Linked DNA regions of Alligator mississippiensis. The protein of the gene in region 1 interacts with the protein of each later gene in a pairwise test. Links are inferred from orthologs where the notes say so. Each region holds a gene or a part of one and is shown in the gene's direction. Other genes may lie near its edges.

What was found.
Region 2: the proteins of LMNA (region 1) and IFFO1 interact in binary tests that used the Homo sapiens proteins (3 or more experiments, as listed by UniProt). The link is inferred for Alligator mississippiensis from reciprocal best matches to the Homo sapiens genes LMNA and IFFO1.
Region 3: the proteins of LMNA (region 1) and BNIP3L interact in a two-hybrid assay, tested with the Homo sapiens proteins (2 studies listed by BioGRID and IntAct). The link is inferred for Alligator mississippiensis from reciprocal best matches to the Homo sapiens genes LMNA and BNIP3L.

What each region holds. Positions count from the first base shown.
Region 1 is NC_081838.1:17,279,269-17,283,016, forward strand, and holds the start of LMNA (lamin), read left to right. Parts: upstream 1-856; 5' UTR 857-949; intron 950-1,677; exon of another isoform or gene 1,678-2,122; 5' UTR 2,123-2,192; intron 2,193-3,748. Other genes in the region: RNA-binding protein MEX3A, read right to left, coding at 1-13.
Region 2 is NC_081824.1:243,421,836-243,425,583, reverse strand, and holds the start of IFFO1 (non-homologous end joining factor IFFO1), read left to right. Parts: upstream 1-1,400; 5' UTR 1,401-1,461; coding exon 1,462-2,162; intron 2,163-3,748. UniProt on the Homo sapiens protein: Nuclear matrix protein involved in the immobilization of broken DNA ends and the suppression of chromosome translocation during DNA double-strand breaks (DSBs).
Region 3 is NC_081830.1:23,570,316-23,574,063, forward strand, and holds the start of BNIP3L (BCL2/adenovirus E1B 19 kDa protein-interacting protein 3-like), read left to right. Parts: upstream 1-1,223; 5' UTR 1,224-1,320; coding exon 1,321-1,411; intron 1,412-3,748.

The sequences.
Region 1 (3,748 bases):
CCAGGCTAGGCATGGCTAACAAAGGCTGCGAGGGGGGCTGGTTGGGGAGGGGGGGGGGAGAGGAGGGGAGGGCTGGGGGGGAACAAAGAGCTCGGGAGGGAGGGAGAGGGAAAAAAAAAAGACAGAGGGAAAGAAAGAGACAGAGGGAGAGAGAGAAGCGGCGACCCTCCGCCCACCTCCCCTCCGCCTGGCCAAGCCCCTTTCTCCCTGCCTCTCCCTGTAACCTGAGCTCCGCGCCGAGGTGGATCCCGGCCGCCCCCCCGCCCCGCAGCGCACAAAAGAGCCGGCGGCGGGCGCGGGAGGCAGGGGCAGGGGCAGGGAGGCTGGGGAGAGCCGGAGGGGAGGCAGCGAGAAAGAGAGGGGGAAACTCTTTTGTTTTAAATTCCCTGGCTGCAGCATGAAGCTGACACTCCGGAGGGGACCGGAGGCTGCTGGGGGATGTAGTTTCCCGGCCCGGCGCACACACCCCCTTGGCTGGCGCTCGAGGAGCGGGGAGGGAGGGGAAGGAAGAGCAGGGGAGGAAGGAAAAAGAAGAAAGAAAGAAAGAAAGGGGGAGGAAGGAAGGAAGGGGAAAGGATGAATGAATGAAAAACAGAAAGAAGAAAAAGAAGACAGAAAGAAAGGAAGGAGAAAAGAGGGAAAGAAGAGGAAGGGCAAAGGATGAATGAAAGAAGACAGCAAGAAGGAAGGAAAGGGAGGAAGGAGAAAGAATGAATGAAAAAAGAAGAAGGAAGAACTAAGAAAGGAAGAAAAGAGGAAGGAAGAAAAAGAAGAGAAGAAAGAATGAATGAAAAAAGAAGGAAGAACTAAGAAAGGAAGAAAAGAGGAAGGAAGAAAAAGAAGAGAAGAAAGAATGAATGAAAAAAAAAAAGGAAGGAGGGGAAGAAGAGGCAGGAAGGAAGGAGACAGAAGGAAAGGAAGGAAGAAGAAAGCATGAATGAAGAAGGAGGTTGGATGGATGGATGTAGCCTGGATGGGTGGATAGAGAGAGGAGCTCTCTGCTGCAGATGTAGGGCAGACAGCAAGAGAGGGGGATGGTGGATGGACGGAGAAGGGCGACTTCAGGCGTGGGGTGCACAGACAGATGGAGGCCCGGTGGGATAAGGCACCAGATTGGGACCCTAGAGACCTAGTTACAGACACCGGCCGTCCCGGTGACCTTGGGCAAATCACTTAAGCTCCCGGCATCCCAGTCCCGACAAAATAGGCCCCTAATCCTTGCTGAGGGGGCTGCGCTGGTCAATCCAGTGCCTGGGAGGGATAAATGGGGGGAGGAGCGGGGAAGGGGCCTGCTGCTTGCCCTGTTTTGTGGGGGTGTAAATCCAGAGTGACTCCGTGGAGGGACAGAGTAGGAAGGGGAGGAGGAGGGAAGGGGGGAGGAGATGGAAACCCCCACTTGTTTGCACACCCCGCTCTGGGGTCCGCAGCAGCAGGAGGGGGCAGGGGGGCTGGGCTGCACGTACAGACAAGGCCCCAAAAGGATCAGGCCTGAGATCCCACATCCATCCCTGCCTCCTGGGCCTGCCCCCATGCAGGAGGCTGTGCAGAAGGGGGACTTGGCAGCTCTCCGGCCTGGGGGAAGGGAAGGGAGGGGAGGGGAGGGGAGGGGAGGTAGGGGGGACACCCTCCATGGCAATAACACCTCCCTCTCTCCTCCTTCCAGATCTAGAGATGCTGGGGAGAGAGGCCACTGCTGGGCCCCTCTCCCTTTTCTTATTGAAATGAAGGGCGATGGGGGGAAAGCATTGAAAATAGCTTTTCAGCTCCCAGCCTGCAAGGGTTTCTTCCCTCCCTCCCTCCCCCTTTCTTCCCTTTGAATCGAACCAGATGTCTCTCCCATGAAATGAGATTGCCTGGCTCTTGCTGGAGAGAGACAATGCGGGAAGATGGGAGATCCCCCATCCAGCGCACTCCACTGCAGCCCTGGCAGAGACTGTGTCTGCATCTCTGGCTGGGCGTGAGGGGGGTGTGGGGGCAGAAGGGAGGTTGGTGATAGAAGAAGGAATTTGCTGCCCCTCATCACTGTATTTTCCCCCCCTTTCTCTTTGCTCTCAGCGCTTTGCCAACAAGGTCTTTCTCTCTCTCTCTCTCTCTCTCTCTCTCTCTCTCCTGGGTTTGACAGCAGAAGAGCTCAGCTGGGGAATGAACTCAGCAGCTGCACAAGGAAATGTCTCATACGGTGACTCAACAAGGTAAGGTGTTGCCATCGCTTTCCCTGCAACTTTGCCTGGGCACTTCTGCAGCCTGGCTGGGGGGGCTGCGTTTGGAGCCTGCTCGGTAGTACCCAGTTGGGGCAGCCGCGGTGGCAGCAGACCGCAGGGCACATGCCGGGCTCAGACAGAAAAGGAAAGGAGTCCAGGGTAGGCTGGGATTCTCAGTGTTCAGCAAGCAATCCTTACACCCCCACAAAGTACCGCCAGCCCCCCTGAAGCCGCTGTTGGGGACTTAACCCAGTGGTTCAGACCATGGTTTTCCAACCGTGTTTTGAATTTGGGTTTAACCTTTACGTGCTTGCGTGATCGGTTGTCAAATGCCAGCAGTTTGGAGTGATTTCCTTCCTATAACCAACAGTGGATGTGTGTGCGGTGGCATACACAGAGCAATGTCTCTATAGGCGTAGACAATGCACTTTGTATTTACTAGATGCACATTTGTACTCTAGATGCACATAGGAGTACTCTAGTGACATAGGAGTACTCTAGGTATGTATATGTGAGTTGGTGTGTGCATGTTTAATAAGCATAGACATCTACGCACACGCCGTCTTTCTATGTATATATCTATATAGATATATCTATAGAGAGGTATGTATAAATAGATATAGCTATAGATGTAGATCTATATGTCTATATAGATATATATTACTTATACATACATATGCAGTCTATAATGAAAACTGCCATAGAAACTAAAATCCATATATACAAACACAGGTATATATCTAGACATGTACGTGCATACATACAACATAAACATGTATATGCAGTGCATATGTGTATATCTGAGTACATATATTTGTGTATGTAATTTGCACATATAAGATATGTGCTTATTTATATTTATGTGTGTATGATATATATGTAAATATATTTTACATATATATGTAAGTGTGTGTGTATATATACATATGTATGTGTGTGTGTATACATACACACAGATCTATATATACATGCACAAATATACATAGAGGTGTGTGTATATACACGTGTATATGTATGTAAATGTGTATGTGTGTTTGTATATACATGCACACAGACCTATATATACGCACATGTACAAAAATGTCTATGTACACACGTGTGTAAATATATCTATATGTGTATATGTGTGTTTGTGTATATGTGTACACAGATCTATATATACATGCACACACACATATGTATGTGTATGTGTATATATATGTATATATACACACAGTATGTGTATATATATGTATATATACACACAGTATGTGTATATATACATACTCACATTATATGTATGTATGTATATATACACACAATATATATGTATGTGTGTGTGTGTGTGTGTGTGTGTGTGTGTGTGTGTGTGTGTGTATATATATATATATATATATATATATATATATATATATGCTTATATTTGCATATGTATGTGTATGTGTGAGCACTTACCCCCCCACACACACACGGAGAGAGTATATACATATGTGTGCATATTTCTGTTAAAAGTACCTGTGAGCACACACACGTGGGTGTGTCTAATACACAAGTATATTTATATGTGT
Region 2 (3,748 bases), on another chromosome or scaffold:
GGCACATTCTCCAATAGGGGGCTGCTCCTTTGTTCCCCCTGCCACCAGGGGGGCCTGCCAGTGAGAAGGACAGGCTCAATGACAGGCTTTCTTTCCCTCCCTGTCAGCTGTTCCTGGAGTGGAAACAGGTGATGGGGCTACCCACAAGCTGCCTACAAGGCAGGAGCTGATTAGGTCATCTTTGTTACCTGATCAACCCTTGCCAGGACCAGTGGGAATGGATAAAACACCTGCACTGTTACAGTTTGAAGTTCACAGTGCTTCGGTGGGTTGCTGGTGCTCAGTCAGGCCCTGCTGCTGCTGCAGCCTTGTCATCATTGCTGCCTGGCAGGGCCAAAGGCTGATCAGGTAGTTGCCTTGAAGGGGGAGAGGGAGCATGGAGCACTGTGGGACACAGGGGGTCAGACTCAGAGAGACTGCCCAGACCTTACACTTGTCATGGGAAAGCTCCTCACGGCGAAGAAATCGCTTTCTGAAAGAGCAAAGTTTTTGTCACTTTACCTGATATTTGTGCAACATATTGCCCTTCATTTTTAGAAGGGCAAACAGCACAAATGTATAAACATTTGCTTTTTGTCTCACTAAAAAAGTGCTTATAGGGTGACAAGTGTAACATGGGTCATGGGGAATGGAAGCAGACCCTGCAGCCCCAGGGTGGCCTGCTGTCCAGCCCTGTCCCCCTGCACCTTGCTCTCCCCCTTCGGCTCAGAGGCAGGTGGCCTGCCTGGCGATGGATTTGGGTGGTACGCAGGGTGCGTGGGTGCCCCAGGCTCCAAAGGACAGAGTTTGATAATGATAAGCTCTGGTGACCCAGGTGAGGATAAGGAGGCCCTTGCTGCAGGACTTGCCCAAGGTGAGAGGCTGATTGGACCCTCCCCTGCCTCTGCTACAGGGTTCTGTGTGGTGCTGGCCCATTCTTATCTCATTGCCTGGATTGGCTTGGCTTTGTTCCTACCCATTTAGCCTTTGTTTATTTCTCTCTCTTAGCACTGCTCCCTTCCCCTGTGCCCCCATCTCTCTCTCCCTCCTACACCCCTTGTCTTTTGTATTCTAATTTGGCAGTGTAAAAGTGATGTTGTAGATGGTCCAGAAATGTTGCCAGAGGCAAGGATTTCTGAGGGTGGGATCTTTTACTGGACCAATAAAAAAATGTCACCCTAAGAAATCCTTGCCTCTTTTATTCCAATTTGTTCCATACTCTGCTTTCTGGACCTCCTTTCACAGCATCTGATGAAGTGAGTTTCAACCCACAAAAGCTTGTGCTTGCTTGCTCCATCCATCCATCATCTTACTGAGTTGGTCTGTAAGGTGCATATCCTCCCCGCCTTCTGCCTGACGCGGGGCGGGGCGTGCGGAGGGAGGGAGCCGGCGGCTCCGCCCTGCCCCGCCGCAGCCCGGCTGGCGCCGCACCTCCCTCTGCAGCGGCGCCCGCCCCGGGGCACCTGCCGGGCCGCCGCAGCCATGAACCCGCTCTTCGGCCCCAACCTCTTCCTGCTGCAGCAGGAGCAGCAGGGCCTGGCCGAGGCGGAGCCGCTGCTGCAGCCGCTGGCGCTGGCGGGCGAGGCGGCGGCCGGGCCGGACGTGCTGGGCGCGGAGCAGCCGCCGCTGCCGCCGCCGCCCGCGGCCATGGCGCTGCGCAACGACCTGGGCTCCAACATCCACGTGCTGAAGACGCTGAACCTGCGCTTCCGCTGCTTCCTGGCCAAGGTGCACGAGCTGGAGCGCCGCAACCGGCAGCTGGAGAAGCAGCTGCAGCAGGCGCTGGGCCGCCCCGCCGCCGCCGCCGCCCCGCGCCGGGACCAAGCCGTGCAGACCGGCCCCGGCCCCGCGCCGCCCGCCCGTCCCCTCGCGCTGGGGCTGGGCTCGGGCCCCGGCAGCGCCCGGCCCCTGCCCTTCCGCGCCCTGGGCTCGCCCGGCTGCCACCCCGGCGCCCCGCTGCCGCCGCCGCCCGCCGCGCGCCTCCTGCCCGGCACCATCTGGTCCTTCTCGCAGGCGCGCCGGCTCGGGCCCGGCGCCGAGCCCACGCTGCTGCAGGGGCCCGGCGTGTCCTGGGTGCACCCCGACGGCGTAGGCGTGCAGATCGACACCATCACGCCCGAGATCCGCGCCCTCTACAACGTGCTGGCCAAGGTCAAGCGGGAGCGCGATGAGTACAAGCGCAGGTGCGGGGTGGGGTGGGGGTGGCAGGGCTCTCCCCCTTCTCCTTCTCCAGGTCCCTGCCTCCCTGGCACCCAGGGGCTACTGCCTGCTCTTCCCCATCAAGCCCAGAGTGGGTGAATGTGACTCCAGGCACTGGTGCTGTTGGACACCCCCCCCCCCAGTTACTAGCACGGGGGGCTGGCAGGCAATGGGGCTGGAAGGAGAGGGGCAGTGGGTGCAGCTGAGCAGGCTCCTGTGACTCTCCAGTGAGTAGGTGTCGGAGGCAAGGTCTGAGATGCATGGGTTGTCCTGGAGGGTCCCAGTTGCTGGCCTCTGTTTCCCTTCCTCCTGCGGTGCAGACAGGCCAAGCAGCCCTCTGTAGCCTAGTCCCCTGGCAAGTGTGGGGAGCCCTGCAAGGCAAGGGTGATGGATCCAGGGCTTGACTTGTCACCTGGCAGGAGGAGAAACAGCCCCGGTGGCCCCTGGACATTTTGGTTCTGTTCCAAGTTGGCCCTTCCTTTAGTATAACCAAGGTGGCAGGGGCTCTTTTTCAACAGCTGAGCTTTACCTTTTAAAACTGGTGTCTGTAATGAGATTGGTCTAGGGAGTGGCAGGGCCCAAGGCACAGTTGGGTATAATTGGGGCCTGCAGACACTTTAACACCCCCCCCCCATGACCTATTTTTAACATCTTTCCTTTATGACATTTTTGGGAGGTTATTTTTTTAATGTGGCAAAAGGGTTAAGCAAGCAGACAGCATCTGCTCAAAACATGGGCCACTGAACTTCAGCTTCAGCCTCCACTTCAAGAACCAGGCCCACTGAACCAAAAGGCATGAGCCTTTCTCTTCCACTCCGTGGAATGGCAAGGTAGGGTAGGTAGACCCTTCTGTGAAATACCTGCCTGGGGCCCAGGGAAGGTGGGCTGGGCTGGGAACCAGGTAGCAGGGAGTCAGTGCGCCCCTTTCACCAACCGCCTTTTATTTCCCTCCCCCTTCCCCTTCCTGGTTCTTTTCTTGGGGCAGCCAGCTATCATTGCCACCCCCTCCCCCCAGTTGCAGGGTGGAGGACAGCCAATTTGTCCAATACCAGGCCTGCCCAAGGAAAGATGGACTGCAAGTCTCTTTGCCTTTCCAAATGAATCTGACAAAGCTGAAGGGGCAGGGTCTTTAATAGGGATATTTCAGCACCCAGGCCATGGGCAGTGAATGAGATCAGGCCGGCAGGCAGAAAAGAGGCTCCTCCTTGTGGTCCAGGAAAGGCTGGATCCCCAGGAGAGCTGGTGTCTGTACTTGACACTCCATCATCAGCCTGCTGTGCGGTGTTTGGGAGGGTCACACCAATCATTTTAGAGGTTTTGGGGGCCTGCCCTATTTTTTGTGGGATTTAGGAGGATGGACTGACATGTGGTTGGGGTACTTACAGAGGGTTCAGCAGAGGCAACGTGTACACGTGCACCCCCTGAGCATGGTAGTGCACCCTCTGCAGGCAGTCACCACTCTCCACCTCACTGCTGACACCGCTGGTGGCATCTGCGGGCGGTCAGCAATCCCTGCTGCCACTGCTGACGCTGCTGGTGGTGCCTGTGGGTGGTTGCCGACCTCTGGTTG
Region 3 (3,748 bases), on another chromosome or scaffold:
AAAAATAAATGGGTTTCTTAATGGGTTTATAGGTGTAGTTCATAGCTACTGATACAAAAATAATATTTTTTCCTGTATTTGTGCAACGTGAAGATAAAGAAGGAATTGCTTTTTATGAAATTAGAAGCAGAGTAAATAGATTCCAGTTGCAGCAGTCTGGATCCATCTGTAAGGGTATTAAAACTTGCAGTATAAATGTTTTAGGGTGGGGATGAAGAGAGTAAAAGTACAACTCACATTCTGACACTTTAAGACTGCTGGATTGATGACAGGGAAGGGCTTCAAGTTATGCTGCTTTTGTTCTCCGTCTTCCTCGAATGGAAATGTTTGTAAGTGAAGAGTATAGGAGAAAAGGCAGGCATTGATCTTTCATGGGTATGTCTACATGTTCATTAATGCACCATTACAGTGTATTTAGTTAGTACCTGTTGTTATTAACTTAATGAACTATAATTGGTGTTACTGCGCATTAGTGCAGATGAATGCTTGCTGGTGACACTTAATGTCCATTGGACCAATTCCACTGTGCGCTAGCACAGTTGAATTATTTTTTTGCCAGCCACACTAACGTGCAGTAGAATTAGTCTAATGGGCATTAGGTGTCTTGTGTAGATGTACCACATGGATCACAAGCCGGTGCAGGAGTAAGAAAATCATTTGTTTGAACTGAAGGGGGAGACGGAAAGGTTGATCACCACTGGCTATAAAGGCAGGTAGACGGGGAGGAGTTATTGCCCCTTGCATGTGCACTACATGCTTTTCAGAGGTGCAGGACCCCTTGGAACATGCCTGCTGTTCTGTTTTGCACTATTTTTTTTTTCTTTTAGGTTAAAAAAAAAGAAAAAGCCTAGTTTTTCTTTTGCAAAGAACTGGGGTGATTTCTAGAAATCTCTTACGTTTCCCTTGAGCTTTGCACTGCTCTGGCCTGTATCCTCCTTGCAGGGAAAACACTGCACCAGGGCCCAGAGCAGACAGCCTGGGTCTAAGCCCCGCCCCCTCCCCTTTCTCTTGCCTATTCGGATCTGAGCTGGGGGTGTTGTCCCTCACCCCATGCGACGCATGCGCAGTGAGACTCCTGCCGATTAGCGCTTGCATGCTGCCGGGCGCCTGTCCTGGCGTGACTGGATGGCACAGCACATGCGCAGTTTCATGCCATGACGCGCACGGCGTCCCGGCGCCTGCGCGGTTGGCAGGGGCGGGGCTTCCCAGCTGTGCCTGCGCTGTGGAGGGAGGCGGGGTTGCTGGAGCCGAGCGGGTTCCGGCTTGTTGTTGTCCCGAGCCCAGAGGCTTCCCAGCTGCTGCTGCCGACGCCGCGCCGCCATGTCCTGTCCCCAGCAGCCGCCGCAGCACCAGCACCACCACAACAACAACCCGCCGGCCGAGGGCACCCCCGCCGAGCCGGGCCTCAACAGTGAGTGCGGCCCGTGTTAGCATATGTAAATATAATTTAAATGAGGAGGGGGCTGCGGGCCAGGCGACCCCCCCACCCTCCCTTCGGGGTTGGGATTGGTAGAGATCGCTGCCGCGCGAGTGCTGCGGACCAATCCGCGGGGACCCTAACGGCTGCTCCCCCTGAGGGGGCCTTAAACAGCGGGGGGCAGCTCAGGAGCTACAGGGGGGAGGGCCCGGGGCAGTGGCGGGGCCGTCTGGGGCACCAAAAGTGGGCGCAGGGAGGTGCGGGGCAACGGTAATGGGTGGGGGGAGAGGATGGGCAGGGTCCTGCAGCTGGCGGCGCCTGGGGGAGTCAGTCCTGTTCCCTGACCCAGGCTCTGAGTCCCCATATCCCTGACTGAGCTGGTTTCCCCTAGGTCCAGGGTATGTGTCAGCGGCTTTGCTGCATCCTTTTGTTCCCAGGATAACGTTGGCGTGGCACGTTCCTGGGGGCTGTAGCACCTCCGGCTTGTCCCTGGGGTGTGTGCTCATGTTCTCGTGAGAGCCGTCCAAGGGCTCTCATGAATAAGACACGTTCCTTGCTAGCTGTTGCTTCTGTCAGGCTTTTGCAGTGAAATTAAGGGCATGGATGAGATCAGAGCAACCTCTGTCTCTTGGTATGGTTTCCACTGGGTTGAGGTGACATCAGGTGTTGCTATAATTAACCAGTTTCACTGACAACAGGCTTCTCTGTCCTGTTGGAATTACCTTGCTGCACAAAAAAGAAAGAAAACCCACGCGGAGGGACCCTGTAGGCAACTTGTGCCTTGTGCCACCATGGAAGTCGATAGCACTTCATGCAGGGTTGACTCGGGGGGGATCTCGTCGCAGTATTGGCCCGCAAAGTCTTAGTGAAATCAGCGTGCTTGTTCAAGGTGGCAAACAAAATATGCAGTAGAAACTGTTTGCAAAGCAGGTGCGGCCGATCATCCTGGGGAAGGTTCAGTCACACTTAGCAGGAGTTCAGCCTTTCTGTTAGCCTATGAACGTGTCGCTGAGTTTTGTCAGGATAAAAAATTTATGCTCTTATTTATTTTTGTCGGAATACATGGTTTGCCTTTCTTCAGTGCTTTCCATTCAGAGCGCTTTACGCAGAGTGAAGGTCATGCTACAGAAGTAAAAGACCTGGGAAGGGGACTCGGAAATCCTATCTTCCAGTCTAGTGTCTGTCCACAGGAATGGGCTCCCTCTGATTTTCTTAGCGGTCTTGCTTTTCTTGTGAATCTTACTTCATTTTGTTCTGTGTTGGGGGCAAATAATAATTGCAAATGCTTTCCAGTTAGTTTTTTCTTTTTCTTTTTTTTTTTTTTGGCAATGCACACTGCATTCCTGAGGAATAAAATATTAAGTTAGGGTTCTCTGTAAAATTGTACCTTTTTCACATGAGAAATGGGTTAGAATATGTTGTTATAGTTAAGTACATATGAAAATTAACAACCATTGCTGACTAGCCAGGGACAGTAGGTACTTCACAATTACTGCTATATCATTCTGGCCATTGTGCTGTAGAAGGGGAACAAAAAACCCCAATGGTGCCAGAGAAATCTGCAAGACAGAAAGCATTACTGTGGGAAATGAAAAAGCTTTTGTGATAATGATGTATTTCATTACAGGTGTGGGGTTCCTTAACTTGTTTGCTTCTGAGCATGACTCAAAATGCATTGTTTATTACGCACCACTAGTTTGGAGCAAAGAAGCCTCCTTGGTTTTTTAACTGAAATCAGACACTGACCAAACAAACTGCCAAAGGAGGACTTGAGCATTTAGCTAGCACTGTTTGAAAAGTATACAGGTTATGGAAGAATCCATAGATAATGTGAGTTTGTGAAGAAATCCATTAAATTCCTTACCTTGTAGAAGCTTCTGTGCCTGCATAATGGCAATGAGCCAGAAGATATAGTTGTTGCTGTTTCAGATTTCAGTTTAGGAAAACTTGCCTTTCAGTTGATTTAAAAATACTGTATGAAATAGAAGTTAAACCCCAATCCTGCGGTCAGCTTTCTATAGGCAGATCTCCGTTCCCACCTGGAATCCCTCTGACTTCAGCAGGGCTCTGGGCTGAGTCACTTGGAGAAACTGGGACTCATCATTAATAAAGCCGATTTAGTTTGGTAATAAACCAGTGTCCAGGTAGCTGGAAGCAGTGTTTTCAAAAAAGCCTGCATTTAAAAAGTAGTCTGGATTGTGGTCTAATTTGACAGAAGCAAGGTGCTCATGGGAGAGTAGCAAATTATGATGCTTATGTCTGCTTCAGCTCCTAATGCACCTTTGTATGTTTATCAGAAATCAAGGGGATGATCTCCACATGTGTAAGAGC